Cricetulus griseus: one gene and its partners. The protein of the gene in region 3 binds, or shares a complex with, the protein of the main gene of each other region. Links are inferred from orthologs where the notes say so. Each region holds a gene or a part of one and is shown on either strand. Other genes may lie near its edges.

Region 1 (9,454 bases), on a different chromosome or scaffold from region 3:
CGCGGTGTCTCGCGCTCGGCCCCGCCCCCCGCTGCCCCGCCCTTTCCGCCCCTCCGCCTCCGCCCTGTGTCTCGGCGGCAGCGGCGGCGGCGGCGGCGGCTCGCGCAGCTTGTTGGCTCGCTATATAAAGGGGAGAAGCAGGCGGACCGGACGGCTGGAGCTGCAGCCGGTGGCGGCAGCGGCGGCGGCGGCGGCGCTGGGAGCGGTGACCGGTGTTGGTTTCCCTCCGCGGCGCCGAGTGGGGAGCGGGCGACGCCCCCTAACCCCCGAGGGGTCGTGGCTTCTTCTTTTTTTTTTTTTTTTTCTTTTCCTGAGGGCGATTCTCGAGGCTTTTAGCCGCGGGAGGAGTTGCCCCCCCTCCTCCTGCTCTCCCGCCTCTTGACTCCCTCAGGATCGGTTTTGTTGAACAAATTTTCGCCCCACTCTTGCGGGTGACTTGGGTCACCCTCCGGGTCTCTTTTTAAGTTTTTTTTTTTAATTTTTTTTTTTTTTTTAAATCTCGTTCCCTCTTGTTTGTGTTGTGTGTGGAAATGGCGAACTCGGCAAACACAAACACCGTGGTAAGGACGTGGTGCGGTGGCCGGCGGGGGCTGCGAAGGTTCCGGCGGCAGGCAACGGCCGGGGCGGGCGGGGGCGGGCCGGGCGAGGCGGCGCTCCCCACCCGGTTCCCTCCGTCCTCCTCCGCCTCTGCCGCTGCCGCCGCGGGCCTGACCGGGCGGGGGGCGCCGAGGGCTGGCGGGCGGAGGGCGGCGGGGCCGGGAGCGCCGCGGGGGCGGGCCACGCAGGCCGTTGGGCCCTGGCTGCCGACCCCGGGGCGAGGACAGGTGGGCGGCGACCCCCACGCGGGGCCCGGACCCGGCCAGCCCCCGAGCGGAGCGGCCGTGGGTCGGTCGATCCCCCCCCCACGAGCCTGGGGAGCCAGCCGCTCGGACGCTGCCAAGTTCGGCGTGCCTTCGGGGGCTCTCTGGAGGTGGTGCTTTGGAAAGCCTGCGCTGGGGCCGATTTTGCTAATCCTACCCCCCAAAAAAAAACCAGAGGAAAAAAAAAATGAAGGTTGGAAAGCACTTATCTCGGTTCCTCCCCAGTGGGTAAAATGGCGAAGGGGAAGCAAAAAGAAAAAAAAAAAGAAAAAGAAAAAAAACCCGTGGTACCTACGACTAGCAAAAGCACCAGAACAAACAAAGCCTTACAGTGACTGGCCCAAGTGTCCACGCATTCGCCTTGAAATTTGCCTACTTCTTCCCGCCGCTCCCTTTTTTGGTTCCTTGCGATCCACGTAGGTTTGCAAAAAGCAGTCACATAAAGAAATAACCTTTTCAATAGTCACCAACGCAGTGTGATCACTAGGCCACCCCCAACTTGATTTTTTTTAATTATGAAAATAAAACACGTGTTTTTGTTTTATTCTTTTGTTTCTTTTTTTTTTTAATTTTTTTGCCCGGTCCCAAACGCCGCAGAGCAGCTCGCTGCTGCCCGACACCGTACCGTTGGCGACTCGGGTAGATCCATCATGGCTGCGGCCGCTTACCCTGCATTTCAGTGCCTGCGCCTTGTGGTCCTCCTCCCTTTGGCTGCCCTGTTTATATAGAGCCATTGCCGCTCTCTAATATAGACTCTGCCAGGATGGGAAGGTGCTTTTCAGGCCTACGTCACCGCCTCTCCATTTAAACACCAGATCCGGCTTTAAATAGTGAGAGCTGCTGAGCGCGGGGCTGGGAGGTGCGTGCTCCCGAGCGAGAGGCGCCCGCATGCGGAGCTCAATTTATTTCTAGGTTCCCTTCACGCCGAAATTTCGCTTCCGAGCCGGGAAGCTGCTTTCTCGAATCCGCGAGTGTTATTACTGTAACAGCTAGGATATGCCGCCTTTGTTTGTAGTGGGAAGTAGGTCAGAATTGCTGCAGCGTTTTGGCCTTAAAAAAACAAAACAAAACAAACAAAAACCCTTTATATAGAGAGTTTAATGGTAAACCATTTTAGGTGACATAGGGTGATTGTTCTTTTTATCTTCCTTGAAGAGGTGCCTTCAACATTCTCGGCTTATATATATATGTATATGTATATGTATTATTTAAAATGTTTCTCCCGCAGAGGACTTGGGCTTGGCAGTGTTTTGTTCATCAGGTATCCAGGAAATGTTAGAAATCACAGCTTGTAACATTTCATCGTGTTTTCTTAATACAAATCCCCAAGGCACAAAGCTTTTCAAAGAAATAGTGACAGACGCTTACGTGTGAGATCTTATGCCCACAATACATTGAAGTGGAGAGGCATGCCCTGAATTGGATTTTAAGAATTAAAGGTCAGGTGGTGGTTTTAATTGTACCAGGTTAACATGGGGTCCAGCATAAAAATCCACCCCATTTACTTAATACTGTGCTAGAAAATTAGTATTTCCTAAAAGGAACCCTTCAGTGAATCACTGATGATGCCACATGTGGCCTCTCATTTGCTGGTTTCAAAGTTTGGGATACTGTGTTTTGAAAGGACAGATCTAAATGACTTTTATGCAATAAAGACAAAAACTGGCTCAATTTTAGAATTGAAGCATTTCCCTTTTTTCTTTCAACCACAGTGAAACCCGGTTTGTACCTAAGTGTTTGAATCTCTAAGGAGAAGATTTTGGGGGAACTGATTTCTGAAACATGAAAACATCTGTTCTCTTGGAAAAATGTCCTACCAAGTTAAAATTAATATGCCCCGTGTACAGTTTAGTGGAGTGGCTTGAAGGGCTGGGGACAGACAGACAGACAGACAGACAGACAGACAGACAGACACACACACACACACACACACACACAAGTTTTGTATCACTAAATACTGATGAGGCTGCTGGGGATCAGCAGGAACTGACTAGTGAACAAAAAGTTCCCCATGTATGAAATTGGAAAGGGTATGAGATCAGGCAGGGGTTAAACCAAGCATGGGTAGTAGGGACCAGACATGATCATAAATATTAGTCATGAGGTTCCATATTTTGCTCACAGTTAAGGAAATTATAACTGGAATCTGTATAGACTGCCTGTGTATAAAGAACTTTGGTTTATGAACTGCATTGCATAGCTTTGTATTACTATAAGATGTAGTTATCAAATCTAGTTTAATGAGGCCAAATAATGTTTTATGTATTTATGTATTTAAGGATTGGATATTTAATTAAGGATTTTTTCCGGGGTGGGGGGGTTTCAAGGAAGGGTTTGTCTGTGGCTTTGGAGGCTGTCCTGGAACTTGCTCTTGTAGACCAGGCTGGTCTCGAACTCACAGAGATCCACCTGCCTCTGCCTCACCAGTGCTGGGATTAAAGGCATGGGCCACCACTGCCCGGCCTAATTAAGGATTTCTTAAAGCCTGCTAAACTTTCAAAATCAGTCTTTTATTGAATCTTATTTTTCCTTTAAAGCCTAAATTGTACAGATCTGTGATTGAAGATGTTATTAATGATGTTCGAGACATCTTTCTGGACGATGGAGTGGATGAACAAGTCCTGATGGAACTGAAAACTGTGAGTTTTGTTTGTCTCTTTAGAAAAACACATTTCCGTAGTCATTAGTAAGTCACTTTTCTATAGGATGACTGATGTTAAGCAGAGATGCTGTAGTCTAGTAAACAGTACTGATTTTAAACCCCAGCTGTGCCAACTATTCTTCCTCTGACTGTGGGCAGAGAAATTGCATTTCAGTTTCTTTCCCTTTAAGATAGGAATTGGTAATAAAGACTTCTTAGATGGTTGTTCTCAGGATTAAATGTGATAAATCAGAGAATACCTATCAAAATGTCTAATAATAGCTTTACTTATTCACAGGTAGTGTTTTATGGTCCAATTACTTGGCATGTCAGTAACAGTTTTTTACATTTTTTTGTAGTCTTAACTCTATTTGTATTCTACAATTTGTTTATATTAGAGGGATTGAATAAATGCTTGATAAAAGAATTTAGGTATTAGAGTCAAGTCCTTTGTGTGCCAAATGCTTTATTTGTTATTTATTAAACACTGAGAGCTAGTTTTTCTCTTAAATTGATGCAGAAATACTTAGATTTTTAAAATGTCATTTGTGGGGACTGAAGGGATGGTCCAGTCTCTGGCTGTTCTTCCCAGAGGAACAGGGTTCAGTTCACATGGTGGCTTACAACAGTGTGCAACTACAGTTCCAGGAGATGCCCTCTTCTGGCCTTCACAGGCATCAGGGCACAAGTGGTACACAAACATTCATGCAGGCAAAACACTTGAAAAAGATAGCCATTGTGTTTTCCTGGGATAGAATGACATGAAACTGTGGAGTATTTTTCTACTGGTTGAACTAAATACCCAAGTTTGAAAATTTCATAGTTATTTATTCTTTAATTTAAAAGTTGTATCAAAACAAAGCAAAACAAACAAACAAACAAAACAATGGTTGGGGAAATGACTCATTGAGTGGTTGCTCTTAAAATTAAGAGGACCTGGGTTCAGATCTCCAGCACCACATAAAAGCCAGGCATGGCCATATGTGCCCGTCACCCAGTAGTTGGGGGATGGAGACATCGGGATCCCAGGAGCTCACTGGCTGGCCTGAAACTTGGAGCTCCAGGTTTTAGTGAGAGACCTGTCCCTAGGCAAAGGTGGAAAGTGATGGGAGGAAAACTTTACATCCTCTGAAGGCTCCACATGCATGCATACAAAAGTTGTCCAGTGAGAAGCCAGTGGTCAAGTTTCAATGAGATGAGTAATGCTAACTGGAGAGAAATGTAAATTTATTAATGCTTAAGGGTGCAAGTATTAGAATACCTCCTCTGAAGCAGGAGTTGGAACAGCATGGAAAAGTTTAAAGTACCTAAGTTCCACGAAGAGTAGGTAAACAGCATGATCCTTAGTTTACCAGGGAGTGTTTTACACTTTTCTGTAATGACTGGTTGTTCTTACACTTCTGTGACTTTATGTAGAAGATAAAATTTCCAAAGGTGTGGAAATGAGCCCTAAAGACTTTAATTGATTTGTAGTAGGGGTCAATCCAGGATCTTTATTTGCTCTGATTTTGTAAGTTACAGTCTGGAGAATTCAGTGTTCCAACTGGTTCCCATAACTGTAAGGCATTCTGTTCAGAGAAACTGAGTTGTCTTGGAGAAATTAAATAATTTTATTTTCATGTTTCTTACATTTGAAAGTGACTCACTCAATTTTTAATTTTCAGTTTCTACCATAATACCTGGCATGTGCAGCTGGCACTCAGTTAAAAATTTTCTGAACTGGTTAATGGCAGATGTGGCTTCAGAATCTTAACAATGCTATTTTTGTTGCTGTTAAGTGGGGCATACTCTCATGTCTTGGGTTGTAATAAGAGTTAAAGCTGTTGGACCAGAATGAACTTAATTCTCTGCACTAAATTTTTTCAGACCCTCATTAGCATTTTCAGAAGGTGCCCTAGATTTAACAGTTGGACACTGGCCCTGTCCAGGGATGGCTTTCTACTTTGATGGAAATGGTCTGTGTCTGTCGTCTGCTGCATGGTAGTCATTAGCCACATGTGGCTGTTAGGCATTTGGAATGTGATTAGAGGAACCGGCAATACATTTTTTATTAATTTTACTTAATTTAAAGTTAAATGACTGCATGTGGCTAGTGATTACTGCATTGAGCTATACAGATTTTCTTGTTAACAAGGTTAACATCCATTGTATATTTTATGATTTATAATGGACTAATGGACTTTGATTTTGTACTATCCTTTCTCCTTTTAAACTGTTTAACAGATTATCAGACTGTTGTTAAGGCAATCAGATACAGTGGTAAATTAGATTATGCACTGAGGTGCATGGTGAGAAAGCCTGTAATTTAAAGTTTAACTAAATACTGCAAGTAATGTCATGATTTAAAATGAAAAAAAAAAATCAGCTGGGTATTGGTGGCTCATGCCTTTAATCCCAACACTCTCGGGAGGCAGAGGCAGGTGGATCTCTGTGAGTTCGAGACCAGCCTGGTCTACAAGAGCTAGTAACAGGACAGCATCCAAAGCCACAGAGAAACCCAGTCTTGAAAAACCAAAAAAAAAAAAAAAAAAAAATCAGCCCACCTATTGGGATCATTTCCAAATTGTTAAAGAGCTCACTTTGATGTGTGAACTATGGGAGGTAGGAGAGACAGAAGATATAGTTGATAAACTTGTATTTAAGTGGATTGTGGATCGGCAAGTAAATGGGTGGGAGTAACACTAGAAATTTTTGTCAAAGTGAACAATAGCAACTCAGGGGAAAGTAAGAAAGAGAATCTGCACAAATTTGAGGCCAACCTAGTCTGCATAGTGCTAGGTCAGTTAGGGCTGCATAGTGAGACTGTCTAAAACAGAAACAAAGCAAAACAAACAAAAACCTATCAAACCAAAGAACCTGTAAAATCAAAACCCTGTTCTTTCTCTGCCTGTCTGCCTGCCTTCCTTCCTTCCTTTCTTCTTTCTTTCTTTCTTCCTCCCCTCCCATCCCTTCCCCCAATAAAACTTTCCACAAAACAACAACAACAAAAAAATAAAAACCTAAAGTAAATGATTAGTAAATGATTAAAAACAATTTGTCAGACCTGCTTATATCTAAATAGCAAGGACAACTTGAAATATAAACAAAACTTTCCCCCCCTGCCATTGCTGGAGATAAAACATAGAGCCTTGTGCATTTCTGGCCAATGTTCTGTCTCCGAGCCACATACCTATGTATGCCTCTGCTGATAAAATAGATTCCTCAGTTAGAGAGTCTGAAAATTCAGGTTATATGTGTCTCTAGTTTAGTGCCTCAGCTTTGGTGCTTTTGACATACACGTTGACATGATTGGTTGGCTGTTGCATATAGGATGTTAGCAGAGAAGTGACTTCTGCTCACTGGATGCCGGTAGCACTTTTTGTTGTGTTCAGAAATGTCTGTATTGCTAATCTCCCTAAGAAAGTAGTAGCAAAATCACCCCAAATTGAGAAGCAGTTTTCTAAACATACCCTAATAACCCCTAGATAAGGCGATCTACTCATATAAGTGTCTAGACTATAAATTGAATAATTACCTACTCTTTGACAAGAGCATTGCTGGCTAGTAGTAGTGGAAATGTGAACCATCTGTGTGCTAAGCTAACAGGCGTACTTCCACATTTCTACCACCTTTAGCTAAGTCAAACCGAGAACTACCCGTTCTCCAGCAGGATGATGCTGGGCTAGAAATTTTAAACAACTCTCCTGGTTCCACAAAATTCCTAGCTTCTGGATAAAGTGTACAACTCATTTCGTTTCAGAGCTTCCAAACACTGTTAGGGAACTTAGCTTCCCCAAGTAGCCAATGAAATAGAAAGTAGATGAAGTTAACAGTGTGGTTAGATCAGAAGCGTGGATTAGAGCCAGCATTAGGGAGAGACAGCATTAGGGAGAGGCCAGTGAAGTGCCCAGGGTACAGTATTGAGAGACACTGAAACGAGATTTCTGGGTGGTAATTACCCTATTTTTGCCTTCTGTTGTTTGTTGATCTTGAATAACTTGCCTGACTTCTTGTTCTTCAGGTTGTTCTTCTCTAAAGAAGCAGGTGATAATGTCTACGCATGTACTTACTGTAGAATACTAAATAAGCTTCAGTTATTAAACCCAGTAGCACATACAGTTATATACCTCTGTCTTTTGTGAACAGAAATTCAATTTTCATGTCAGTTTTAGATACCTAGGCAAAAAATGCTGAAGTGTGGGTATCCTGGAATTAATAGTTTACTTGTGGGGAAGGGAGTAAATAGAAATAAAGTAAAAGGGCTCCTCCAATTTTCTAAGCATAAGAAATATTTAACAATTTAGTATTGCTAATTTCATCACTATTAATATAGTTACTATTGTCAAAACAATATAACCTTGTTTTAACAGCTGATATTTAGAACCTGGAACTTTGTGATACAGTTGAAATTGTACTGAAGTGAAATTGAAGGGCTGGAGAGATGGCTCAGCAGTTAAGAGCATTTGCTGCTTACAGAGAACCTGGGTTCAATTTCCAGTGTCCACATGGAGGCTCCCAATCATCCATAACTCCCATTTTCCAGGAAATTCAATGCTTTCTGACTTCTGTGGATATCAGATACAGACATACATGCAGGCAAAACAGTTGTACACAAATCTTTTTTTTTTTTTAAAAAATGAAGATAAGATATAAACATTGAATAAATCAAATTTTACTTGAAGGTATAAGCTTGGTGCTTAGTTATATGGTATTATTTTTGTATTTGTTAAGTTACTAGAGCACTTAACCATGATAGCTAAGGCCTGATTCCTTGATTGGCTAGTTCAACCCCTGCAAAACTTTTGGTACTATGTGGGATCATGTTCATTTAGGAGGCAAGAACTAGGAATGTTGCGTTTCCCGTGGGACCATCCCGAATGATACAGACATACTCTGCCTAAAATGCCAGTAGAATGCTATACAGAAAATAGAAAATAATAGATTATGTTTCCAATTTTGTTTGATGTTAATGCTAAGTAGCTGTTAAATTCTTAGTTATCTGTAAGGTCCTGAATAAAGTAGTCTCCTCATGAAGGAGTTCATTAAAAAATAGAACTATTTCTAATATGCATAGGGGGTGACTGCAATATCCTCCCCAATTTTGGAGCCCTGGCTGGCCTTGAACTCACAGATCCACCTACCTCTATTTCCCAAGTGCTATGGATTAAAGACATGGCACCACCATGCCCAGCCTAAGTGACTGCTCTTCTTTGAGGCAATGGGACTCTGATGTTTCATTTTAGAAGACTGCAGAGTAAAAGCAATGGAATAGTCTCAGGTTATTTCACTGAAAGTAGTTATTACTATAAGAAATAAAAGTACAAGTTAGAGTAGCAGCCAGTCTATGGCAAATAGGACACCCTAAGCTTCTACTCCACTAAATGGGGTGGGTAATTGTACAGGACCAAGCTGCTGTTTTTTAAAAGAAGTTCCCCTTATCTATGATTATGTGTTTTTTGCTTCCATGTATGGCTGCACCATTTGTGTGCTTTGGAGCTTGTGGAGGCTGGAAAAGGGCATTGGGTCCCTAGGAACTAGGGTTATAGACTATTGGGAGATGCCATATGGGTGCTGGGAATTGAGCCTGGGTCCTGGAATAGCAGAAGGGCATCTAACTACTGATCTTTCTCTCCAACCCCTGATCTTATTTTTTGAGGTTTTGGTTACCTTCTGTGAGAAAATTAATCCTGTTAACTGTGCAGAATATAATGTTTAAGTTCGGTGCACATTGTATAACAAATAAACAATTTCTTTTGTTGCATTTCCCTTTCCATTTGGTTTTCATAAAAAATTCAATATTGACTTTTTTTGACCCACTAATGGGTTTCAATCCTCATTGAAGAGGATTGGTTTAGACTTTAATACAACTAGCACTTTGCAAGCATCACAAAATAATCTGGACAGTTGATAGTAATGGCTTGTGGCTCACTTCTAACCCTGCTGCTAGAGTAGGTCCAGACCTCAGAATTAGCTT
Region 2 (9,952 bases), on a different chromosome or scaffold from region 3:
TGCTCTTCCAGCAACCACATGGTGGCTCAAACTATCCATATAGTGGGATCTGATGCCCCCTTCTGGCATAAAGGCATACATGCAGATAGAACACTGGTATACATAAAATAAATTTAAAAAATAATAACATTATTGTATAAATATTAATTTCTAAACTGTGACTATGTAAAAGTATCTGCTACATACTCTCCAATGTTTCCAGGGGGCTATGCACAGGAAGAGAAAAAAAAAAAGAAAAGGTAGGTCAGGTGTGATGGCACACACCTTTAATCCCAGCATTCAGGAAGCAGAAGCAGGTGGATCTCTGTGAGTTGAAGACCAGCTTGGTCTACAAATCAAATTCCCGGGACAGTCAGGGCTATTTCACAGAGAAACCCTGTCTAAAAAGAAGAAGAAGAAGAAGAAGAAGAAGAAGAAGAAGAAGAAGAAGAAGAAGAAGAAGAAGAAGAAGAAGAAGAAAGAAGAAGAAGAAGAAGAAGAAGAAGAAGAAGAAGAAGAAGAAGAAGAAGAAGAAGAAGAAGAAGAAGAAGAAGAAGCAGCAGCAGCAGCAGCAGCAGCAGCATAAGATAAATATTTAGGGGTTCCAATGACGAACATAAATTAATTCCTTAGCTTTTCTCTAAGATGGAAATATTTTAAATAAATAAATATAAGCCAGATATGGCAATGCACACCTACAATCACAGCACTCAGGAGGCTGAAGCAAGAGTGCTGCAAACTGAAAGCCAGCCCAATCTATAGTATCCAAAGCTGCACACAGTACTGTCTGGATAAAACAAAGCAACCCTGTAAGTAACTAATACAAGGTAAGTACATTAAGTAAGCACAGAGAAGGCTGAGATCTACCTATAAGGAACAGAGTAACAACAGGACATCCCTCACATCTTATAGTATCTACTAAAACATGTTCTGTTTGGTCTAAAGTTACCTGATCACAATCCAGCATGCTTCTTGCCACAAATCTGGAGTGATTTCATCATCATCCTCATCATATTGCATATCTGCAAAAACAAAACACTCTGCTCACTGGCAATAAGATGCCACATCCTCTCCTTGAATTTAGGTAATTTTCAACTCTCCAGTAAATAAAGGATGCTGTTAGAATGAGGTCACATGGTTTTATGATGTAGTCAGAAAATGCAATGCAGTTCTGACTTGTTTGCTCTGAAGCCCTGAACTGTAGCTAAAAAACTCCTAATATTCTCCCAACAAATCTCATGATCTTTTTTTGTCTGTTTGTTTTATGAGGTGCTGGGAATTAAATCTATGGTCTCACACATGCTGGGCAAGAGCTCTAACACTAAGCTATATCCCAGCCCTTCATAAACATTTATTTTTAATTATATGTGTGTGCATGCATGCACATGCGTGCAGGTGTCTACGGAGGCCAAAAGAGAGCATCAGACACCGTTGAGCTGGAGTTATAAGGAACTGTAAGTTGCCTAATATGTGTGCTGAGAACCCAACCTGGGACTTCTAGACTCCAGGAGCAAGCACTCTTAACTGCTAAACCATCTCTCCAACCACCATGAAAATTTTTTTAGGTAACGAAATTTGTTTTATCCCTCTCCCTATAGGTAAGGATTAGTAATTACTATTGTACAGCAACATTAATTTAAAAAAAAATGTATCCTTAAAAATTTATGATAGAATGTTTGTTGTACTTTATTTTTTTAGTTTGAACTATACAATTAGCCTATAAAGCTTAAGAGCTTTCTATTCAGAAATCTGATATACATTCAAAGTAATTTTAATACATGCTTCTGGAATGTTCTAGAATGACATGGAAAAAACAATGGTATGTAAATCAGCAGTGGTTTCTAGCTTTGTAAGTACTGAAGTATTTAATATCACTGCCATGTAGAAGTAAATTCAAAGAAGAAAAAAGGGGGGAAATGATAAGGGTGGCCCTACATATTTATGTAGAGCGTATTTTACTCTTTAGATACTTTTAAAAGGAACATGATACTCAAAAAAAAACTTTCACACTAGACTGGAGATGTGGCCCAGTGCTAGTGTTGCATAGCATGGACAAGGCCCTGCAGTCAATCCCAGACACCAAGGGGAAAAATTCCATACTACATGGAAAGTTGGAGTCATCAGCAAATTAGCAAAAAATAAGGAAAGTATATGCAGAGAAAGAAGACTAAAGTCAGGATATTAAGGGACATTTCTGTTTAAGAGTCATGTAAAGCTGTGTGTGGTGGCATATGCCTTTAGTCTCAGCACTTGGGGGACAGAGGCAAACAGATAGATGTCTGGGAGTTGGATACCAGCCCTGCCTTCATAGCATGCTACAGGCCAACTAAGAATGCATAGTAAGAAGCTGCCTCAAGAAAGAAAAAACAAATCACGTAAAGGAAAATAAGAAAATGAATTAAAGAAGAACATTAATTCATTCATCAAACATTTATTGACTATGAGCATTTACTATGGCCCAGGCACTAGAAGTCGTCATCCTTTACAGGATAAAGACGGTTGCACTATTACAGAGATTATCATCTATTGAGGAAATACAAACAAGTTGAAATCAACAAAGACAGAGTAATATGAACATTCCTAACCAGGACCCCAAGAAAATAAGTCATCCCAAAAACTGAAAACAGGAGTAGACCAGGCAAAAATGAGTCAGTGAATATGGGAGGAGTGAAGATGGCTCCTGTCCAAAAGACATCATAATGAAGATAGCATAGTATAATCTAATCAAGAAAAGGCAATGTAGGGTACTGGGGAGATAGCTCAGATGGCAAAGCGCTTTACTGTGCAAGCATGAAGACTGAGTTCAGAGCTCCAGCACCCATGTAAAAAAGCCAGGCACACACCTGTAATCACAGCACAGGGAAGGCTGAGACAGGACATACACATATAGACAAGCAGTGCACACACATTCACATTTTTTGAGACACACTCTCAAACAGTATCAGATATATTTCCTCTGTGTGTGTGTGTGTGTGTGTGTGTGTGTGTGTGTGTGTGTGTGTGTAAGAAAAATGGATACGGATAAAGTGAGTTGAGTCAACAGTAGAGTTTAGGGAACCTAACAGATCTCCCAGTTATCTAGTAAGAGATAGATATGCAGGACAACTAAATTGGAAATACAGCAGGGCATATTAGCTCATGCCTATAATCCCAGCACATGAGAGACTGAGGTAAGAGAACTGCCAGTAGTTCAATGCCAGCTTATGTAATGCACATAGTCAAGACCATGTCTAAAGAAACAAAAATTTGGTTGGGCAGTGGTGGCACAAGCCTTTAATCCTAGCACTTAGGAGGCAGAGGTAGGGGATCTCTGAGAGTTGGAAGCCAGCCAAGTCTACAGAGCTAGTTCCAGGACAGCTAGGACAGAGAAACCCTGTCTCGAAAAACCAAAAGGGAAAAGAAAAAAATAAACAAAAATGTATTCAAGTCATCCAGTAAATTCAAGTATGAATAATGGATTAGATCGCCAGGCGTTGGTGGCATATGCCTTTAATCCCAGCACTCGGGAGGCAGAGACAAGCGGATCTCTGTGAGTTCGAGGCCAGCCTAGTCTACAGACTGTGTACCAGAATAGGCTCCAAAGCTACACAGAGAACCCTGTCTTGAAAAAAAAAAAAAAAAAAAAAAAGACTGGATTAGATCACCCAGGGAGAATGTAAACAACAGTAATGAGTAAAAGAAACGGTAACAGTCAAGTGGAAGTGATGTAGCAGAGTAGATGAGTAGTTTTCAAGAGGAAATCGTGAACAATTTTGAATAGCACAGAAATAGGTGAGAGTTGGGTGGGTGAATGATGTTTTATCTGGTTGGTTGGTTTTGGGTCTCCAATTTAAAGATAATCCTCCACATTTGGCCTTCTGTGAGCTACAACAACTGATCTAAGTAAGTCTTGAAGCATCTATCTAATTTATCAAGTAAGAAATCACAGACCACTCAGAAAAAGCTGTTTTAACATAGGAGCATTAGCAAAATCAGATTATAATGGGTCACAGAGGTCCTGAGATGGAAACTAGAAACATTCTTAGGGCTGGTGAAATGGCTCAATGGGTAAAGATGATTGTCACATAGCTGAGGATCTGAGTTCAAACCCAGCATCTATAGGGTATGCTCCATGTGTGCACCCTGATACATACATACAAAATAAATAGATGCTATAAAAGTCTTAAAGTTTCTGCATTTCCTTCAAGTAAGAGTAATTTAAAAGAATATAACGATTTTAATAGAGTTCCATGAGATATGAATACAATTGAGACGTTTAAGAAATTTTAAAAGTTGAAGCTTTTGTTGTGTCTGAGTAGGATGGCCATAAAGTTGGAAGCTGGAACACAGAAGTAAAGAGGGAGCTTTAAAAAAAAAAATACAACATGAGGCCCAGCGGTGGTGGCTCATTTAATTACAGCATTCAGGAGGCAGAAGTAGGAGGATCTCTGACTGAGTTCCAAACCTGTCTCGAAAAACAAAAAAAGAAAACCTGAAGTGTGCCTATGAAAAGTGACTAGGCATGTCCTTGTGAAATGAAATACATACACAGCAAGGACTATGTCATCTCATGGTAAGAGACTACTAAAAGGCCATCTTTTAAGGCATTTACTTTAACTGAAGACAGTGTGAAGGAATGTCAACCCAGAACTCATTCTTTATCCTTAATATTTCCAGGGTATAACAGGACGTGGTCGAAAATTGAGCTACCCGGGACTAGGAATAATGGCTCAAGAGTAGAGTACGTGCAGGACCTGGATCCAATCCTCTGTGACAGTATTAAAAAAAAAAAAAATACCTAGCTATTCAGCAAGTTGACTGGGGTGCAAAGGAAACCAATCAACGTCAAAACACCCGAACGTTAATAAGCACTTGCACACTGTCGTTCCTGGAAGGTGACAGCAGGTTTAACAGGAGGCCACGCAGGGAGCAATCGACCTGACCCGGGAACGTGAATCCTAGGTTTCCCGAGCCTACACAGCCAGCAAGTCCAGCGCGTGAGAACAGGGCTGCGGGGCGCGCGTCCCGGCCGGGATGGGGTTGCTGGCGCAGGTCCTCCATCCCTGCAGGTTCCCCCGCCGTACCGCCTAAGAGGCTACCGCGAGGCGTGTCTCACGTGGTCACCTACCCTCGTCGGCGTCATACATCTTGGCCAAAGGTTTCTGGTCCTCTTAACTCGAATTCACAAAGCTGGAGGCGAAAACTGCAGCGGCAAACTCTGGAGAGTAAGAACAAGCAATTTCCGTCTCCGGCGTTCCCAGAATCCTCGGCGTCTAAGTGGGGCGGGGGAGCGGGGGGGGGGAATCGTGTGAGATCTGCGCCTGCGCAAACGGCCGGCCGAGCCTGGCGGGGGCTTGAACTGCGCAAGTGCAGATTTTGGGTCGCTCGGCTACCGCTGAGGACCGCTCTTTAGGCCGGAAGTTGGACCCGGTTAACGTAGTTTCTTGTTGCGTGTTCTTGTAGAGTTGTTGCACAGATGACGCTTGATTGGCGTAAAGGGGATTTATGAAAGAAAAGCTCTGGGTGTAGGCAGAGCACCCACGATCATCTCCTGCCCACCCAGCTCTAGTGCGCGCCTTTGCACAGCGGGGTGAACTCTCGGGTCTCGGAGCCTTCATCGCGAGAAAGCCAGGGTTAGTCACGCCGTTGGACAGTTCCCTCGCCTCTCGTCCCTGATTTCCGGACACGCGCACGGGTGCGCGCCCGAGGCTCCGCCCACCTCACGGCCGTCCGCATGCTGCCTGGCTTGCAGGCTTGCAGGCTGCTGTGCGGGTTCCTGCGGGGCCCGGCGCCTGCCGCAGCGTGCCATGGCCCTGCCCGGCGGCTCCTGGCGGGGAAGCGCGAAGCCGCTTTCTCCCAGAGCCCATCATCCCTGGGCCGCCGTCTGCCTCCAGGCTCCACGGCGACCGAGGACTATGAAGAAGGCCCCGACACGGAGGAGCGCTTTCTGTTCCCGGAGTACGTCCCGGAGCGGGACCCTGAGGAACTGCTGAGAGAGTTGCGGGAGTTGCATCAGCGGCAGCAGGATGAGGAGCGACAGAGGTTGCAGCGGCGGGAGGAGCGGCTTCAGCGGAAGCTGCGGGCGGGTCTCCGGAGTCTGCAGGTCCCCGAGCTTCCAGAAGCCACGGTGCCACCCAGCGGCATCTACTGCTCGGGCTGCGGGGCCGAGCTGCACTGCCAGCACCCCAGCCTGCCCGGCTACCTGACGGAGGAGAAGTTCCGCGGTGTGACCCAGGCGGACGGCGGACGGGCGCGGACCGTGTGCCAACGCTGCTGGCTCCTGGTGCACCATCGACGTGCCCTGCGCCTGCGGGTGAGTCGAGAGCAGTACCTGGAGCTGGTGAGCGCCGCGCTGCGGCGGCCGGAACCCGCTCTGGTGCTCTATATGGTGGACCTGCTCGACCTGCCGGACGCCCTGCTGCCCGACCTGCCCAAGCTGGTGGGCCCCAAGCAGGTCTTCGTGCTGGGGAACAAAGTGGACCTGCTGCCCCAAGACGCACCCGGCTACTTGCAGCGGCTGCGGAAGCGGCTGTGGGACGACTGCATCCGCGCTGGGCTCGTGATGGCACCTGGCCACCGAGGACCGCAGTACCCCACCGGCGATGACCCTCGGGACGAGAAAAAGAATCCGAATCCGTCGACCAGGTCCAGCACCGTGATCAAGGACGTCCGGTTGATCAGCGCCAAGACCGGCTACGGAGTTGAAGAACTGATCTCTGCACTTCAGCGCTCCTGGCGCTACCGCGGCGACGTCTACCTGGTGGGCACCACGAATGCCGGCAAGTCCACTCTCTTTAACACACTCCTGGAGTCTGATTACTGCACCGCCAAGGGCTCCGAAGCCATCGACAGGGCCACCATCTCCCCCTGGCCAGGTGAGGCCCCGCTGTTGAGAAATCAGACTTGACCCAGGCACCTAGTACTACATCTACCCTTAAATGTCCACCTTGAACTACCTGGGGCTCTCCCTTTAAATTTCTTCTCTCCCCACTTTGCTCATACCTCTTGCGACAGTTTAGTGCTTAGAAATTCAATACGGTTGATTTTCTAATAGAAATGTTCCTAGGGCTGGAGAGATGGCTCAGAGGTTAAGAGCAACGACTGTTCTTCCAGAGGTCCTGAGTTCAATTTCCAGCAACCACATGGTGGCTCACAACCATCTGTTATGAGACCTGGTGCCCTTTTCTGGTGTGCAGATATACATGGAAGCAGGATGTTGTATACATAATAAATAAATAAACTCTTTAAAAAAAAAAGAAAAAATATTTCTAGAGGGGCTGGGGATAAAGCTTGGTTGCTAAAGTGCTTGACTATCATGCAGGAAGCCTGAGTTAGTCTGCAGTACAGCACAAACGAGGTGTGGTGGCAAGCCCTTGTGTCCCCAGCACTTGGGAAGTGGAGACAAGTGGATCCGGAGAACACCAAACCATTCTTGGCTACATAGCTGGAGGCTATTGTGAGGTAGATCCATAAGCCCCTGTCTATTTAAAAGAAAAAAAAAGCATCTGTGTTCTTCTTACTCCTAAGACCCTTCTTTCTTCACCCTTGAATGTATTTATTCTTGGAATGTTAGACTAAACATATGAAAGAGTTGATGTGCTATGACGTGGAAATTTCTTGAGAAGAAATGTTAGTGTTCTGAGATAAAGAAACAAATAGCTTGGCGTGGTGTTTCCATCTGCCTGTCTGTCATCAGAACGCTGGGCAGGCAGAGCCTGAGGATGCATTTCAGGAGCCTCTCTGAAGGAAGAAGCTAGGGGGAAACGTATGTATATGGAGAGTTACAGTCTTAGGAATTAGCTTGACAGAAATGTGTCCCCTTGAAACCAGAGTTTTGGTCTTTCATACTTAAAACTGCCTATGGTCAGTCGTACAACCCTAGATGTACTGGAGGATAAATGGTGAAATCGGGGGTAAAACACACCTGCAAAATTTGTACCCAAATTCCGAGTTAGCCTGTGAACCAGTCACTAGGCCTATTTCCTCGTTTGTAAAGTAGAAATAATTACATAATGGTTGTCATGAAGGCTAAATGAAATAAACCAGAAACATTTGCTTTTCTTCTTTCATATTCTTTTTTTGAAACCCTTATTCTTGGTATTTCAGGTACTACATTAAACCTCCTGAAGTTTCCAATTTGCAACCCAACTCCCTACAGAATGTTCAGAAGACAAAAAAGGCTTAAAGAAGAGGCAACCAAAGCAGAAGAAGATCTTAGTGAGGAAGAACAAAGCCAGCTCAATCAACTGAAAAAGCATGCTTACAAGATAGGTATGCATCTTCCAACTTAGGAAAAGTCTTACCGGTTCCATGATAAAGTTGTTTAGACTTGCAGTGCGGCCATTGGGACTAACCATTTTTTTACAGGAAGAGACTTCCTTCCCTGTTCTGGAATATAGGCTTTTTGTAGGAAAGGTTACTGTTGCTTGGAAACCCAAACTAGCAGAGGCAGTAAAGGTCTTTAGCTAACTTGTCCATCTCCTTTGTATCTCTCTTCTGAGTCCATTAATGGGAAAGAAGGATTTCTAACACTATTTGTCTGAAACACAACTGACCGTGCAAGAGAATGACTCGTGTTATCTTCCACAAAGACGACAAAAGCATCATCATAGCCACAGTTTCATATTTATACACGTAACTTTAGTGGCTTATTTAAAGCAATCATAAAAGGTGGCTTCAGGGCCTTACCTTTAGTCCCAGCACTTGGGAGGCAGAAGCAAGTGGATCTCTGAGTTCAAGGCCATTCTGGTCTCATAGAGAGTTCCAGGACAGCCAGGGCTACATAATGAGACCCTATCTCTGAGGTAGAGAGGTCTTCAGGGTGTCAGGTACTCACCTGTAATCCCAATACTTGGGAGTTTTAAAAAACCTCAGTTCCAGGCCTGGAGAGATGGCTCAGAGGTTAAGAGCACCAACTGCTCTTCCAAGGGTCTGAGTTCAATTCCCAGCAACCACATGGTGGCTCACAACCATCCGTTATGAGATCTGGTGCCCTCTTATGGTGTGTGCAGATATACATGGAAGCAGAATGTTGTATGCATAATAAATAAATAATAAATAAAATGTTTTAAAAAAAAAAGAAAACACACACATATATATATTCTAAAAAAAAAAAAAAAAAAACTCAGTTCCATGGTGATTTTGAGGCAAGACTGGACTACATGAGATCTTTGCCAAAATACAAGTGTGTGTGTGTGTGTGTGTGTGAGAGAGAGAGAGAGAGAGAGAGAGATCTGTCGCCTCTGACTATAGAAAAATCACAAGTTTAACTCCGTCTTGAACTATGTACAGAGAACCCATCTCAAAATGTTTCGTATGCCCCAGAATCAAAGCATTGGAGGGATGTCTGAGAACTCGGTTTAATTTGTTCTAGGAAGAGTTGGAAGAACATTCTCGCACTCCACAGAACAGACGGAAGACGTTCCCTTTGAATTTGATGCTGACTCATTGGCCTTTGACATGGGAAATGAACCTGTTGTGGCCGTGCACCAGTGTACCAAACAAGTAGAACTGACCCCAGAGGATGTGAAAGATGCCCACTGGTTTTATGACACCCCTGGGATTACAAAAGAAAACTGTGTATGTATTTAGTTTCTTTTAGAAATACGTACTATAGCCGGGCATTGGTGGTGCACGCCTTTAATCCCAGCACTCGAGAGGCAGAGGCAGGCAGATAGATCTCTGTGAGTTCGAAGCCAGCCTGGTCTCCAGAGCGAGTGCCAGGATAGGCTCCAAAGCTACACAGAGAAAACCCTGTCTCGGAAAAAAAAAAAAAAAAAAAAGAAGAAGAAGAAGAAGAAGAAAAAAAAATACTATAATTGTAGATGTACTGTCTTAACTGGCCTAAAACAAGTAAAGGTGTGGGCTTCCATTTTAAAATTTGATTCTGGTTTCTTTATAAAAGTAGTTCAAGGATAAATCTATATTCCATCAAATTCTGTTTTCATTTAGTTGACGTCTCTGTAGGTAAACGACAGACAGTATTAACATTGTG
Region 3 (9,893 bases):
GTCGGGGTCGGCTTCAGGAGGACGCGGGGTGCGGGAGGTCACGCTGCCTCACTCCCACCGGCTGGATCCCCTGCTCTGTGTCCTCCCGCCTAGGGGCGGAGCGCATGGTGTCAACAGCCTTCTGCAGCCACTGAGACCCCCGCGCTGACGCGGAAGACAAGGCCGGGGATCGGGAACCAGGGAACCCCGCAAACCTCCACGACACGGCCCTAACTGGACCTCCGCGGCGGATCCTTCCTGCGTGTGAGCAGGGACGCCGCCGTCTGTGCGCACGCGCATGGGGGCGGGAACACGCCGGCGCGTGCGCACAAGACACTGGCTCCCCGGGTCCCACAGCCTCGGATGGGAAAACGCGTGCAGGTGTCTGGAACCGCTTATTTTTTTTTTCCGTTAATTTTATTAAACAAGAAATGTCCCGGTGTGTAAACAAAATACGCCTGAGTTGGGAAGCTGCCAGCCCGCTCGCTCGCTCGCTCGCCCGTCCGCCGGTCCGGCTCAGGAGCTGTGCTTCTGCCGCTTCCAAAAGCGCTTGACGTCGCTGTGCCCGGCCGGCGTCACCACCATCAGCCGCTTGGCCGAGTTCTCGAACACCAGCACGCCCAGCTCCCGCGCGTGGGCCAGCAGCAGTTCAAAGTCCACTTGCGACAGGAACTGGTTATACAGGACGCCTGGGGTCGGGTGGGCGGGCAGGAGGTGAGAGGGGCTGCGGTGGCCATGGCCCCTCCCCTCTGGGCGGCGTCTCCGCTGGGGCAGCAGGCCACAGTTTTAAGAACGGATTCTCTACGGATCACTGTGGATAACCTTAACACCCGTGGCATCCAGACGTTCGAAAAGACAACAGAATACCACAAGAAAAAACCATGCAAACCTACCCGGGGAGATGACTGGATTTCCCTGCCTCCTACCCTCACCTGGCTAGTTTGATCCAAACCGCACCGATTTGGGACATAGTTCCTGCTACCGATATATCACAGTAAAGGACGGGCTTTTCTCTCCCCCTCTCGGGGTGGGGGTGGAGGAAGGGAATAAAAAATGCACAAGACCCTTCTCACTCATCGCGGCCAAGTTGCTGACCTTACCTCTTTAGTCAGTGACCAAGATTAGGAGGTCAGCAGAGGCCACTCACCTTCCGTGAAACGAAGTCTGTCCCTTTCCAGCTCCCACAGCCGGATCTGGTCTGTAATGGTGGGAGGCAGCACAGGAGTCTGCGGGCGGACAAGGGGCGGAGCTATAGGACCCAGGGCAAGTGCCTAAAGCAGTCTCTGTGGGTTGGCTGACCCGCTCTCACCCATCCTCTTCTTGCTGGGTGCCCAGGCTGCCAGCCTCCAGCATCCTGGTACCCATCCATACCTGTTTGAGCATCACCGGATGGGCCCTGGTCCTTAGGAAATGGATGATCTGGGAAGACACAAGGATGCAGAAAGCCATCAGGGCAGTCACCGAATGCCACTGCGACAGCATCTCCTGTATTTGCCTAGACACGGGGACCTGACAGACCTGAGGCTATGCTCCCATGGCGGGGGTACCTCCTCCCACCTTGACCTCCACTTCAAGTAGGGATACCTGCTGGGCTGTGATGCCGCTGGCGATGGCCTGCTGCACACTCTCCCGGGTCACCTGTGCCACCACCATGTTGGGGAACCGGTAGAGCATCTCAGAGAAAAGTGCGATGAGCGCAATCTGTAGCTCCGACTCTGGCCCAGGGGTGAAGAGCCGTGAGGAGGCTGCCCATGCCTGCCTTCCTCTAGCCCTGCCCTCAGGTGTTAGAAGAGATACCAGAGGGCTCCTAAACCACACACACACACACACACACACACACACACACACACACACACACACACACACGGCCATAACCTCCAGCCTCACCAGTATAGGCATACAGTCGGTAATTGGTCTCCACGACAATGAAGCCTGGCTGATGCACACTGCCCCCGGCCCCAGAGACACCGGATGAGAGATTGATGGCCAGGCGTGTGGGGTAGTAACGCCGGGACTTCCTCTGGAAGGACACGGGGAAATACAGTCCTCTCTCAGGTCACCATCCTGACAGCTTCCTCTTAGACATCAGATCCCCCAGTGCAAAACCACCAACCTTTAACTCCCCCCCTCAAATGACCCAAGCACTCGGGCCTGGCAAGGGCTTTCTGCTGCACCCCAACACCCCACTCTCCTCAAAGCCAGGTGGCTGGGTGTGCGTACCTTCCTCTGGAAAACAAGCCCGAACTCACGCAGGTGTTGTAGGAAGTTCAACAAAGAATCACTCATACCCTCTACAGAGTAGTCCTGGGGGAAGAGATGGCCAGCTGGGGGCTGTGACTCGTCCTCCCACTCCCCGCCCAGCCCCCTGCACCCCTCCCCCTTTTTTTGCCTTCTCAGGTAGTTCTGTGATCATTCTATCTCTCCATGACGTCTCTTTACCTGCCTGTCCTCCACCCCCCTACTCACCTTGCCCAAAGTAGAGAAGCTGAGCTGGAAGAGGAAAGAGAGAATCTCTACCAGGTCCATGCCCCGACTCTGAGGAGAAAGGGGCAGAGCAAAAGGAGACATGAGAGAGGGGATGAGGCAGTGACGGGCAGAGTCTGGGGTGGTTGTGACTCAGTGGGACCTGAGAAGATCGGGCACACTGCCCTAGGCCCTGGCTCGTACCTGGGCGGTCTGCAGATACTGCAGCATGAAGTACCAGAGCTGGGCCGACGTGTCCAGCAGCAGGAACTGGAAGCCAGCAGAAGTGATACAAGGTGGCTCTCCAGGTTCAGCACTAGAAATGGAGAGAGGCGACGGTAGCGACATGCACAGAAGGGCTACCCGTTTCTGGTTACACCTATTCAAACCTCTTTCCCTACCCAACTCCCTTCACTCCCTCCTAACCCCAGGCACCCACTTTATTTGAGACCCGAGTGGCTGTGCCCTCCCCTCCTCACCTTTTCATGAGCCCAGCCTGGCTGAGGAGCTGAGCCAGGTCCTGGCTGACAGCTGCACTGGGAGAGCCCACCATGAAGTGCAGGACCACCTAGAGAAGAAAGGATCAGACAGGGGTCTCAAGGGCTCCCGGGAATGGGGGCCCAGCGGAGGCACACAGGGGCCGGATCCTCACCTCCCAACGCTCCTCAGCATACTTGTCAAGTGAGGGGACGTCCCGGGCATGCTTGTCTGGTCCCAGCTGACTTGTGTCATCAGACCAGGCCTTGCCCCTGTGGCCAGAATGGGCAGGAGTAAGGAGCCCTGTCTGCTTCCTGCTTCCCCACAGGCCATGAGAAGGGGACACTTTCTACACCCTACACCTACACCTGGTCCAATGCACTTTTGAAGGAGCTCCCCCCCCCCATCCCTGTAGTCAGCAGTTCCCCTGGCCTAGCTCAGGAAGAGAGGGAAACTACATACCCACCCAGAAGGGCGATTCGGAGGTTCTGGCGGAAGATGGGATTGAGGATGAGGCCCTGGAGTCCACCAGGGAGCAGCTGGGTGTGCCAAATTCGGAGACCACTGAGCAGTCCTGTGCTTTCCTCCTGAGCCCTGGACAGAAGCAGAGGTGAGGGGCAGGTCACAAGCAGAAAGGAGACCTCCAGGGGGCTCCATTTCTACCTAAACTGGTGGTCCTTGGAACAGTGTTCCAGGGTGCAGCTGTGTTTTCTTATATCAGATGCCTGTACTACAATGCTAAATGGAGCCTAGTTCGTTGTTTTTATTATTGTTTCTCTCTGTTTTGTTTTCTAAGTCAATCCCCCTCCTTTTTTTTTTTTTTTTTCTTTTTCTTTCAAAAGGGTCCTATGAAGTCTCAGACAGCCTCAAACTTACCATGTAGCCCTTGAATTTCTGATCTTCCTGTCTCTACCTCCCAACTTCTGGAGCTGTTTTTTCATTTTCTTTTGTCTTTTCAATTTTTTTTTTGTTAGCATACAACTAGTTAGTTACAGAAAATCACAACTCTCTAAAAGGGGAAACACTGCAAGTATACTCTGGGGGGGGGGGTGTTCCCTGTGTAGAGCAGAGACTGTTGAGACGCCCTAGGTTTGATCCTAGATCCTGTGTGAGTCGTGGATGTGCAGTCTGAGAATGCAGCCACCGGGCAGCAGGCTGTACTTGGGACTCACTTGCTGAACTCTTTCTTCACCCACAGGGCCACCGCAGCCTGTGGCAAAGGCTGCTCCAGAAAAAGCATCCGCATCACCCAATTCTTAGCCAAAGAAGGGAGCTCCCTGTAAAGGTCAGAGGCCAAATGTTACCAGAAGCTGCCTCACGCCTGCACCTCTGCCCTCTTTTGCCTCTCAGGCATCTCACCCCATCTCCCACCTCGTTTTAGATTGCCACACTTTGGAGTAATCTCTAACAGGCTGGTAGTCACACTAGGCTAAGCCTCTCCCCATGAGTAACTAACTCCACTCTGCAGAGCCCGTTACAGTCTCCAAACCACGGTCCTCGCTTTGAAGGGCTCCTCACCTGAAGACAGCCAGGCAAGTGGCTGGGTGCCCATACAAGCGGTCAAGCACCCCGGGGCTCAGGCCCCCTAGGAACTCCTGTAGATTCCTGCATTGTAGGTGTGCTCGGTTCAGTCCACCCCTTGCAGGGGTGATCTCCATCACCTGAGAGGTACACAAGTCAGAGGTACACCCCCACAATCCAGGCCAGTGTCACTCTGACTCCAGACCTATCCGGTCCACTCTAACCCATCAGTTCTATACCTTTCCTCTCTGGTACCACTCGTCACCTATTGCTCCCAAACCCCGCATGTTCCTGCTCCTTCATCAAGCCCCTCAGGATCACTTTGAACTTTCTGGGATTGCAGGAACGTAACATAGCTGGCCTTTCATCCCGCTTCTCTTCTAAAGTTCAATCTTCTCTCAGTCTCCAACTGGTGGGATTTTCCTTCTTTGTGTACGGTCCTGAGGACCAAATCCAGATCCTCACCAGTGTGGACAAGGGACAACATCATTTATTGTTCCATACTTGCAAAATTGTTTTTGCATTATCAACGACGCCCCAGATTCATCTAAGCAGTGACAAAGATGCTAATTTGAACACAGCCTTCTCTTTCTCTCCTCCACCCTCCTGGTCGGATCAGTCTACAAGTTCCTAATCTGTCAAGACAGGGCTATAAATTACCTCCATGCTCACCAATCTAAATCCCTTTCTATCCCTTTCCCTCCAAGCCAGCTTCACCCTTCTCACTGAGACCACGCGGTGCAAGCTCCGCACTTCCCCCTGGCTTTCCTTTCACGCCAACTTCACGCCCTCTCACAGCCCCTACCGCTCGGATCTCCCTTGCGTACCCCGGGTCACGAGCCGTCGCTTAATCAGAGCCAATGTCTCGCATTGGCTTCTGGAAATAAAAAGACGAGAAAAAACGGTGGGAGAACCAGGAAGTCTTTCACAGACAGGAGCCAGGCAAAAACCAGTCCAATGGGAAGGGAGAGCAGGGTTAAGTGTGAAGAGTAAAGGGGATGAGAATAAGTGATGCACTCGCCTGCCGCTTGGCATGGTGGGAATTGTAGTCCTCTCCTCGACTCCATCGGAGCAACGCAAGGAAGGTTTGACTACAATTCCCGAAAGGCACAGCATGGAAGACCAACTGAGAGAAGCTGGCTTTTCATTGGATTCCCCCAAGAACACCCTAAGACAGATAATTTGGTTCCGCATCTCTCTTTCCCTAGCAACTAAAGCGAGTCTCTCTGTCCCGCCCACACAGGAGGCGCACCCACGGCTGCTCAGGGGTGGTGCGTTAGATTTAGAGACCTCAAACCTGGGTTTCTAGACCTCTGATATTTCTCATGCACAGCATTTGCACGAGGCAGGGATTAACACAGTCCAGTTCGCCCTTATTTGGCTACTAAATGCTCAGTCTTAATCTCTTCCTCCACGGCCCTTCCAACTCCCAAGAAGTTAGAAGACTCCATTACAATTTTAAAAAGAAAGCTGCGGTTTACTCTTATTTATGAATTTACTGGGAGAAAGGACAGTTAATGAAAGGCATCAACTAAGGTCAACTATAGTTTCCCCAATTCTTATGGGGCAAATTCTGGTGTTTGCTTTTTGTTTCTGTGTATCCCTGGGTTTCTCTGTGTAACCCTGGATGTCCTGGAACTCGTTCTGTAGACCAGGCTGGCCTCGAACTCAGATCCACCTGCCTCTGCCTCTCAAGTGCTGGGATTAAAGGCGGTGCCACCACTGCCCAGTTTAAATTCTGTTATTCTTATATCACAGAATACCAAACCCAACAAGAATAAGAAATCTGAGCTGGGCGGTGGTGGCGCATGCCTTTAATCCCAGCACTCAGGAGGCAGAGACAGGTGGATGGATTTCTGTGAGTTGGAGGCCAGCCTGGTCTACTGAGTGAGTTCTGGGACAAGCTTTAAAGCTACAGAGAAAACCTTTTTTTAAAAAATAAATAAATAAATAAATAAATAAACAAACAAACAAATAAGCTAAAGAACAAAAGCAACTGAAAGAAACAATAAAATCTTTTTTTTTTTTTTGAGACAGGGTCTCTCTGTGTAGCTTTGGAGCCTATCCTGGCATTCACTCTGGAGACCAGGCTGGCCACAAACTCACAGAGATCCACCTGCCTCTTCCTCCTGAGTGCTGAGATTAAAGAAGTGTGCCACCAACGCCCGGCTAGATAAGAAACAATAAAATCTTAAAGAAAAGAAAAGGGGGCTGGAGAGATGGCTTAGTGGTTAAGAGCAGTGTCTGCTCTTCCAGGGGATCCGGGTTCTATTCCGAGCACCCACATGACAGCTCACACCTGTCTGTAACTCCAGTACCAGGGGATCTTGTATCCTTACACCAATGCACATAAAATAAAGTTAAATAAAGTATTTTTAAAAAAAGAAAAGAAAAGGAAGAAAAAAAACCAAAGCTAAGTGTGGCGTTATGAGCCTGTAATCCGGCACTGGGTGGATAGGTGGAGGCAGGAGGGTCAGGAGTGGTGGTGGAGCACAACTTTAATCCCAGCACTCAGGAGGCAGAAGCATGCAGATTTCTGTAAATTCAAGGCCAGGCTGTCCTACATAGAGAGTTGCAAGACAGCCGTAAAGAGAATCTGTCTAAAGAAACAAAACCAAAAACCCGGCAAGCTGCAAACTTCTGATCTTACTGCCTCCATTTCTGGAGAGCTGAGATTACAGGCAAGCATTGCCACCCCAGCTTCTACAAGCAATTTTAATATGATTATTCTTTGACCCAGTAAAGCCACCATTAGAATTGCGTCATTCAAGTCGTGTGTCTTGGCATATGTCTTTAAACCCAAAACACATGAGGCAAACACAGGCAGATCTCTGTGAGTTTGATGCCAGCCTAGTCTACAAAAGCAAGTTCCAGAATAGCCAATGATGTTTTACGGAGAAACCCTGTCTCGAAAAACCTAAAAAAGAAATACAGAATTGTATCATGCTGAAATCTTCATCCATAGAATAGATTAGATGCAGAGATAACAAAGACACTTCCTGAACCCAATGGCAAAGGCTCACCAGTCTGTGTCAGCAGCTGGTTAGATATAACACAAATCATCCCAACAAAGTGGAAGGCTGGGCAACCCTGATAAAGGAGGGGTCATATGTATACTAAGGCCTTGAACTACACCCTACCTACTCATCAGCAGAGGGAGAAATGCGAATTACTAAGTGGCTTGAACAGCCCACAAGAAACTTTGATATATACATACATGGAAGGTAGGCTGGGAAGGTGACTAAGTGACCAAAGGCACTAGCCATGCAAGTGTAAGAGAACCAGAGTTCAGCCCCCACAACCCACATAAAATATTGGGAGTAGCCACCCGCCTGTATGAGATGGGATTCTCAAAGCAGCTGTCTAGAAAACTATCCCTATCAGAGAACTCGGGGTGAATGGGAAACCCTGCCTCGATGGATAAGGTGAAAGCCATGGGGGTGGTTCAACTTGACTCTGCTTTGCAGAATTCAGGAGAGGAGGCTACACGGAGCACAGACTGAGATCTTCAATCTGTCTTAGAGAGAGAGAGACAGAGAGACAGAGAGAGAACCTAATGATGCTTCCCTAACTCTATACTTTTTATGTTAGCCCTTGAAATTTTTTAAATGAATTAAGCCCTGTGTTCCTTAAATTGGCCGTTTTGCAGCTTACAATCTCACAGCCGAGGAGAGACATGTCGTAGGGACCCACACACATAAATACATGTGAAATAGGGCATGCAAGGGAACTAAGAAGAGATCCATGGGCTGAAGAGCAACACTGGAGAGCTGACCTGTCCAGATGAGATTGTTGAAGGGCTGGCAACACAAGAAAAAAAAACAAAAAACAGAGAACACTGTTCCAGGACAACAGCACGCTGCAGAGGCCACATGCCAGGGGGAGGTCTGTGGCCTCGGGGAAACGGAAAGGACAGTATTGTACGCAGGAGAGTGTGCTGAACAGGACAGCCAGCCTTGGACAAGGTTCTGTTCTTAAAAAATCAATCAGAAGCCGAGCATTGGTGGTGCACGCCTTTAATCCCAGCACTCAGGAGGCAGAGGCAGGCGGATCTCTGTGAGTTCAAGGCCAGCCTGATAGGCTCCAAAAAACTACATAGAAACCCTGTCTTTGTTTGAAAAAAAAAATCAATCAGAGATGGACTTGGTGGAAAACGCTTCGAATATAAGCATTCAGGAGACTGAGGCAGGAGGACTTTTAGTAGTGAGATCCTGCTAGCAAACAACAGCCGGGCATGGTGGCACACACAATGTGTGTGAGCTCAGGAGGCAGAGGCCCACAGGTCTCTGTGCTCAAGGACAACCTCATCTACATAGGCAGCCAGGCCAGCTGTGGCTACTCAGTGAAACCCGGCCTGAACGAAGCAACAGCAGGATCCAGAAAAAGGACTAGGAGTATAGGTCAGAGGTAGAGTGCTCGCTTAGTGTGTCCAGGCCCTGGGTTCAACCCCCAGCATGGTAACCATCATCATCATCATATAAAATACACATATATACATAAAATAAGCAAGATGTGATAAAGGGATGAGTGAAATGGCTCAGAGGTAAAAGCAGTTGCCACCACACCTGAGTGTTACACCCAGGACTGACATGATGGAACTAGAGAACCAAATTCTACACACACACACACACACACACACACACACACACTGTGGCAATGCATACACAGCTCCACACACATGCATGCACACACTAAATAAACAAATGCAATAATTTAAAAAATGCACGCCACAGAGGACCAGGTGTGGTGCTGTGCGCCTGCAATTCCAGCACCTAGGAGGTGAAGCCAGAGGCATCGGTTCCAGGTGGTCCCCTGTTCCACAGCAAGTTTGAGACAAAGTCTGGGCTATTTAAGACCATAAGATCCAGACTCCAAACAAAGGTCACCGTGGTGGCAGAACTGAAAACAAACCAGAGATCGACAGAAGCAGTCCTGGGAGACTAGTTAGGAGATGTCTGCGTTTCGGCATGTGCCAGGGCAATGGAAATGTCGAGAAAGAACAAAGATCTGGCAGGCAGACCTATGAGCTTCCTGCTGGACTGGACTCATCCTCCAGAGTGGCTGCTGCTACAACTGTGGGAAAAGGGCAGGTTTGGACACGCTGGTCTGAGCGCCACAGGAACCTAGAGTTACAGCATTCTAAAGCTTACTTAGAGCAAGTCTGGGCACAGAGCTCTGGGAGCTATGGCTCCCTGCCAGGAATTCCATTGCTTATTATTCTAAAGTCTGACCTCTGAACTCTAACCCATCAATGTCTGTTTTAATCTTAAGGCAGTAGTCTGACCTCCGTAGCTTTAACGAGACTGTTAGATGTGTGACCTGGGCCCTGAGAGCCCAGTAATTCAACCTCAGATTTAATTAGCTTTACTGTTGTCCTCTCATTATCCACTCTGCTCACTTTGTGAATATCGTCAGCCAAAACCCCAGGGTCCTTATTTCTCAGGAATGGCTAT

What was found.
Region 1: Gtf2h4 (region 3) and Gtf2a1 share a complex: the UniProt entries of both Homo sapiens proteins name them as parts of the TBP-based Pol II pre-initiation complex. The link is inferred for Cricetulus griseus from reciprocal best matches to the Homo sapiens genes GTF2H4 and GTF2A1.
Region 2: Gtf2h4 (region 3) and Polr2b share a complex: the UniProt entries of both Homo sapiens proteins name them as parts of the TBP-based Pol II pre-initiation complex. The link is inferred for Cricetulus griseus from reciprocal best matches to the Homo sapiens genes GTF2H4 and POLR2B.

The regions. Positions count from the first base shown.
Region 1 is NC_048598.1:113,313,356-113,322,809, forward strand, and holds the start of Gtf2a1 (transcription initiation factor IIA subunit 1), read left to right. Parts: upstream 1-109; 5' UTR 110-530; coding exon 531-560; intron 561-3,397; coding exon 3,398-3,499; intron 3,500-9,454. UniProt on the Homo sapiens protein: TFIIA is a component of the transcription machinery of RNA polymerase II and plays an important role in transcriptional activation. TFIIA in a complex with TBP mediates transcriptional activity.
Region 2 is NW_023276807.1:143,689,566-143,699,517, reverse strand, and holds the start of Polr2b (DNA-directed RNA polymerase II subunit RPB2), read right to left. Parts: upstream 5,281-9,952; 5' UTR 5,106-5,280; coding exon 5,087-5,105; intron 1,002-5,086; coding exon 929-1,001; intron 1-928. Other genes in the region: Noa1 (nitric oxide-associated protein 1), read left to right, coding at 5,693-6,833, 8,065-8,229, 9,332-9,537. UniProt on the Homo sapiens protein: Catalytic core component of RNA polymerase II (Pol II), a DNA-dependent RNA polymerase which synthesizes mRNA precursors and many functional non-coding RNAs using the four ribonucleoside triphosphates as substrates.
Region 3 is NW_023276806.1:229,574,916-229,584,808, forward strand, and holds Gtf2h4 (general transcription factor IIH subunit 4), read right to left. Parts: upstream 5,437-9,893; 5' UTR 5,268-5,436; intron 4,581-5,267; 5' UTR 4,578-4,580; coding exon 4,438-4,577; intron 4,197-4,437; coding exon 4,092-4,196; intron 3,514-4,091; coding exon 3,382-3,513; intron 3,192-3,381; coding exon 3,095-3,191; intron 3,011-3,094; coding exon 2,922-3,010; intron 2,759-2,921; coding exon 2,647-2,758; intron 2,515-2,646; coding exon 2,446-2,514; intron 2,284-2,445; coding exon 2,200-2,283; intron 2,000-2,199; coding exon 1,867-1,999; intron 1,695-1,866; coding exon 1,564-1,694; intron 1,399-1,563; coding exon 1,351-1,398; intron 1,206-1,350; coding exon 1,127-1,205; intron 669-1,126; coding exon 496-668; 3' UTR 375-495; downstream 1-374. UniProt on the Homo sapiens protein: Component of the general transcription and DNA repair factor IIH (TFIIH) core complex, which is involved in general and transcription-coupled nucleotide excision repair (NER) of damaged DNA and, when complexed to CAK, in RNA transcription by RNA polymerase II.